Linked DNA regions of Cricetulus griseus. The protein of the gene in region 2 purifies or fractionates together with the protein of the main gene of each other region. This does not show direct contact. Links are inferred from orthologs where the notes say so. Each region holds a gene or a part of one and is shown on either strand. Other genes may lie near its edges.

Region 1 (3,452 bases), on a different chromosome or scaffold from region 2:
GTCCTAACAGGTGTGACTACTTACTCCAAACAATTTCCTCCTGTGTCTTCCTTCTAGATCATTTCTCAGGATGAAGCAGACAGAAGAGGGAAAGTGTATGACAAGTATATGTGCAGCTTCCTTTTCAACTTGAACAACGGTACGTGCTAAGCTGGAGGCACTTAGCTCCTTGAACAGTGGTGTGTTCTGAGCTGGAGGCACTTAGCTCCTTGAACAGTGATATGTTCTGAGCTAGAGGCACTTAGCTCCTTGAACAGTGGTGTGTTCTGAGCTGCAGGCACTTAGCTCCTTGAACAGTGATATGTTCTGAGCTAGAGGCACTTGGCTCCTTGAACAGTGATGTGTTCTGAGCTGGAGGCACTTGGCTCCTTGAACAGTGGTGTGTTCTGAGCTGGAGGCACTTAGCTCCTTGAACAGTGGTGTGTTCTGAGCTAGAGGCACTTAGCTCCTTGAACAGTGGTGTGTGCTGAGCTGGAGGCACTTAGCTCCTTGGAGGTGGTTTGGGATCTGATTGCTGGCTGAGCATTTCAGGTTGGAAGTCAGCAAGATGCCAGGAAGGGGCATGTGTCTACAGGAACAGCTCCTGGGATTTTTTTATCACCAGGCCTAGGCTCAGGGATGTGTGAGGAGAGGGGAAGTCCCCATGGAGTAGAAGGGTTATATGCAGGAAACAAGGAGCCCCAGACACTCTGGCTGTGAGGGGACATTGTCTCCCCCACAGCTGTAGTTTGTCTTGTGTTCCCTGGGATTTGGGGGCTGAGTAGCTTCAGCACCCGGTTAGTCACCATCTCTGATCTGGGAGCACAGGCAGCATGTGGAAACCTTGTGGCCCAGGGTGTTGTCCACAGGTTGTGAGGAAAGCAGCAGCTACCTCAGCCAGGGTTGGTAATACAGATATTCAGAGAAACTTTCAGCTGGACAAATAGAACATGTTTTCTTTCTTCTTTATGAAAATGTTCCATAGAAATATTCTAATCTTAAATCTCAATATGCCTACTTCTTGATATTCACAGAAATTCGGCAGGAATCCTTTTTTTTTTTTTTTTTTTTTTTTAGGCATGTTTTGTTCAGCAACATATAATTGAGAAGTCGTGGCATTTGAGAGCCATATTTAGCCACCAGGGATTCATTTTAATGTAGAATAGTATTTTCTTCCAAATGTCATTTTGTATTGAATGTTTTATTTGCTTTTGAGGTCAAATCCTGAAGACCTGTTTCTAAAACCATAACAACTTTAGTCCATGGTTGCAATTAGTCACTGGATTGTTTTCTTTTGTTTTTTTAGATTTTGTGGTGGACGCAACCCGAAAGGGCAACAAAATTCGTTTTGCTAATCATTCAGTAAATCCAAACTGCTATGCAAAAGGTAGGCTTTTAGGTTGGCACTGCCAATTTGATGCAAAAAATTCCCTTTTTTACCAGCCAAGTGATAGCAGACTTCAGTATCTCTGGGGCACCTGCTGTGTGAAGTCAGTTACCCGCCATGGCCTGTCTTCATGCTCACCAGCCCCGTGTTTCTCCTTCCAGTTATGATGGTTAACGGTGATCACAGGATAGGCATCTTTGCTAAGAGAGCTATCCAGACTGGTGAAGAGCTGTTTTTTGATTACAGGTTGGTAAAATAAACTTTTAGTATAATCTGCAGGCTTTCCCTTCCTGTACTGTGGGCTGAGGTCAAAGGCCGTTAAGTTCTTTGCCTGATCTGCTGTCATTGGAGAGGGCATTCTTTGAACTGGCCAGTCATTGATTGCTGTGGACACCAGAAGGGAGTTAAATGCTCCTTCAATATAGGTTGCCATGTGTTAATTATATAATGCTTATTTGAAAAAACAAACCCCACGCAGGAAGCTGCGTTGAACTCCCGGCTGTTGATGACTGTGACCCCTGGGTCTTATGTCTCACTTCACGTCGGTATTCTAAGGCACCCTTTCTCATTGGTGCAGTTTGTGTATCTATCTTCATTGCTTTAATTGTTGTCGTTACCCTGTGGTCACTGTGGAATCTTTTTGGGGAAGCTAGTACAACTGACAGTGTAGAGCTCCGCAGGCAGGAGACAGGCAGGAGACAGGCAGGCTGGCAGTGTGTTCTACCTGGCTGTGGGACAAACATGACAAAACAGTTACTTAAATGTGGTCAAGTAAAGATATCTAGTTAGAGAATTCTTGTAACTGAATATCCACCCCACCTAGAAACTTTAGTTGCTGAAATGGGGGCCTGTGTTGCTTAGTTCTAGTACATTGTACTGTATAGCTGGAGAGAATTAAGTGAGTGACACCTGGGGATTGGAATAGGGTCCTCATGCTGTGTCTCGTGCATGCTCTCAGTGGACCAGGGTTACAGGCAAAGGTGTCCAGCTTCCTTAGTGATGGGACTTTCCAGATCTTAATTTTGCTTTTTCAGTATTAGACACAGACATCACAATGTGGAATTGGCTCAGTAGAGTGCCACAAAGGCACAGGGAGGGCTGTGGGACTGAGGAGTGACAGTTGCATGCTTCCTCTTCATGAATGCAGCTGAGTGACGGGGTCTGCGAGTTGTCATGACATAATCCTCTCCATCAACAGGCTTGGTTTTCCTAATATTGGACAGTAGTCACTTCTTGTTCATGTTGTTTCAGATACAGCCAGGCTGATGCCCTGAAGTATGTGGGCATCGAAAGAGAAATGGAAATCCCTTGACATCTCCTACCTCTTCCCTCCTCTGAAACAGCTGCCTTAGCTTCAGGAACCTTGAGGACTGTGGGCAATTTAGAAAAAGAAAATGCAGTTTGAAATTCTGAATTTGCAAAGTACTGTAACAGTAATTTATAGTAATGAGTTTTAAAAAATCAACTTTTTATTGCCTTCTCACCAGCTGCAAAGTGTTTTGTACCAGTGAATTTTTGCAATAATGCAGTATGGTACATTTTTCAACTTTGAATAAAGAATACTTGAACTTCTTGAGTCACTTGTCATAGAGCGTCATCAACTGATTCTAGAAAGACTATATTCAGTGGGAAAACACAACTTAGCTTTGGTTTTCCAGTTGTCTATGATAAACATATTGGCATTGTGTTTGCCTAGATACAGTGATACCATTGCCTTTTAGTCTTGAGTGAATGACACTGGTGTGGGTCCTGGGCATTCATCGGGGAAAGTGAGTCAGCTTGTTACCCAGGAAAAGTTGTTCAACCTCCAAATCTGCTGTCCATATGTAAAATTGTGGTGTCTGAGCCGCGACTAAGTCCAAGTATCAGGCAAAAGCCTGGAGATTTAATTAGAAGAGACGTCTGGCCGCTTGTGCTATGTGCGTCTGTCTGACTTTATTCCAGGGGGAGAGCTGCCTTATATACACTTACAGCACAGTGGAGAAACCCCAGGTGTAAGAGTGAGTATTTTCCCAGGTATAGTTGATGCTAGTGGGGCGAGGCTGGGGCTGTAAGCCAGGACTGGAAAACAGGATGCACCTGTGGT
Region 2 (2,128 bases):
TGTAGCCCAAGGGGCTCTAGCCAACCTAGTCAGGGCCTAGGTAAGGTGGGGCAGAAGTGGCTGAGAAACCCACCTGGTGACAGTTTGGTAGGGGAGGGCATGTTGGGATCTAAGCATCCCAGTACTGACCACACCTGATGCTAGGCCAGTCAATGGGACTTGTCAGATGGGGCTGCGGCCCTTTAAAGCCAGGGAATGCTCTCAGGACCCTCCCTCTACAAGGAAGCCGGGAAGAGCAGAGCAGAAAGGGCCTGCAAAACAAAGAGCCCAGAGACCACTCTCTCTAAGAGAGGTGCGCAGCACCACAGGCTGCGGCTAAATGGGAAGTTAGCCTTGTCGGGAGGGGGCAGGTGTGTTTGGGAGAGCACATGGGCTGAGCCAAATCCTGCTCAGGTCGGTGCCCCCAGAGCCTGCAGCTGGTGCGGTAGTGTGCAGTGGGGGTGGGGAGGGGCCTGGAAGCAGGGCTTCCAGTCCCAAGGGAAAGCTGCTCCTTCGATGGCCAAAGAGCAGGCGGCACTGTGCATGGTCACTGCTTCTCCTCCGAGGACTCCTGGGAGATACCCTTCTCTTCCTCCTTCTCCAGTTTCTTGGGTCTGCCCCTTGGTTTCCTCCCTGGAGCTCTGGTAGCTTTCTGTGTCTTGGCAGCACCTTTATTTTTGCTTCCCTTTGGTCGGCCCCGAGGTCTCTTTGGTGTTGGTACTTCACTGGGCTCCTTCGGAGGCTGCTTGCGCGGCCTACCCCGGCCTCGCTTCTCAGTCCCGTCCTTCTCCTGCTTGGAGGCCAGAGGCTGGCTGGACTTTGAACTGGACTCGCTCATCTTCCTTCTCTACGGGACAGTAGGGGGCACTGGCTGTGATGGCCTTCTTGGAGCAGCGCCAACACCAGAAATAGCCCCGACTCCGGAGTCGGGGAGCACAGTTAGAGGAGCACAGCACGGCTCAGGGGAGCTAAGAAAAAAAAAAAAGAAAAAAAAAAAAGCTAGAACTCTTCTTTCAAACCACAGTTCCTCTCAAAAATCAAATTCGGGAGCTGGTTGCTTGTGGTGAGGTAAGCAACCTAGCTGTTTCTAACCCAGAGGCCAGGGCTTTTGTTTCCCATCCCTCATCACCCAGGGGACTAGGCGGAGCCTTGGGGTACTTGAGATAAAGTTCTCTCAGGTGCTGTCTTTCTTTGGGCTTCCTCTTCTCCCGAGAGGCCTCTACTAATTGTGAAGGAAGTGAAATGATTTCCAATTTATTTAAGAAGATATCTGAGGTGGAACACACTTATGATTCCTGCACTTTGGGGGTTGGGGGCAGGAGGGTCAGGAATTCAAGGCCAGTCTTGCCTACCGGGTAAACCTAAGACCTTCCTGGGATATATAAGGCCCCATCTTAAAATAAACACATAAAAAAGAAAACTAAAGGAAGGAGATGAGGGAAGGAGAGAGGAGGAGAGGGGAGAAAAGATGGAAGGAGGGAGGGAAGGAAGGAAGAGAAGTAGAGGAAAGAAAGAAAGAAGGAGAGAGGGAAGGAAGAGAAGGAGAAGAAGGGAGGGAGAGAAAAGGGAGAGAAGAAAAGAAAAAATGAGGCTGGTTGATTTGAAGAACACAGGACTCGCTGTGGGGGGCTTCGAGATCATTAAGATTGCTTAAGATGTATCTATACATGTGCATATATCTATGTGTCATAAAGGTAGAAGGATCTAACCAGAAAGAGGAAGGGCTCTAGCAGGGAGGGCAGGGAAGACTAATGAAGGAATTAGAAAGGTCAAACTACATAATATGCTTGAATCAAAATGTCATTGTGAAATCCAAAGCTGTATAATAAATATTGGCTATATGATTGGTGGGGGAAGACTCACCAAGTTCTTCTGAAATAGTCGGGAATGTCCTCCGGCAACCAAAACCTGCTTTGGGGGAACGCCTGATGCTCCGTGCCGCCTCCCTAGGCCTGCAGTTTATAAATCGACCAAAATCTGCAGAAAAGCAAAACGCTTAAATTGTACTGAGCCATCTGCCCGCCTGCTCTGGGTGCTGGTGACACTCTTGGAAGGTGACTATCAAGAGAGATAATGGATCAGGAGATAAGGCTGGAGCATGGCAGCCCTGTGCCAAGCTGCCAGTCAGGCCCAGACACCCTTAGCCTTC

What was found.
Region 1: the proteins of high mobility group protein HMG-I/HMG-Y-like (region 2) and Ezh2 purify together in Homo sapiens (affinity purification with mass spectrometry; 3 studies listed by BioGRID and IntAct, with this or other methods). This does not show direct contact. The link is inferred for Cricetulus griseus from reciprocal best matches to the Homo sapiens genes HMGA1 and EZH2.

What each region holds. Positions count from the first base shown.
Region 1 is NW_023276806.1:222,414,140-222,417,591, forward strand, and holds the end of Ezh2 (histone-lysine N-methyltransferase EZH2), read left to right. Parts: intron 1-57; coding exon 58-139; intron 140-1,285; coding exon 1,286-1,366; intron 1,367-1,527; coding exon 1,528-1,612; intron 1,613-2,617; coding exon 2,618-2,678; 3' UTR 2,679-2,942; downstream 2,943-3,452. UniProt on the Homo sapiens protein: Polycomb group (PcG) protein. Catalytic subunit of the PRC2/EED-EZH2 complex, which methylates 'Lys-9' (H3K9me) and 'Lys-27' (H3K27me) of histone H3, leading to transcriptional repression of the affected target gene.
Region 2 is NC_048596.1:201,330,204-201,332,331, forward strand, and holds high mobility group protein HMG-I/HMG-Y-like, read right to left. Parts: upstream 895-2,128; 5' UTR 818-894; coding exon 527-817; downstream 1-526. UniProt on the Homo sapiens protein: HMG-I/Y bind preferentially to the minor groove of A+T rich regions in double-stranded DNA. It is suggested that these proteins could function in nucleosome phasing and in the 3'-end processing of mRNA transcripts.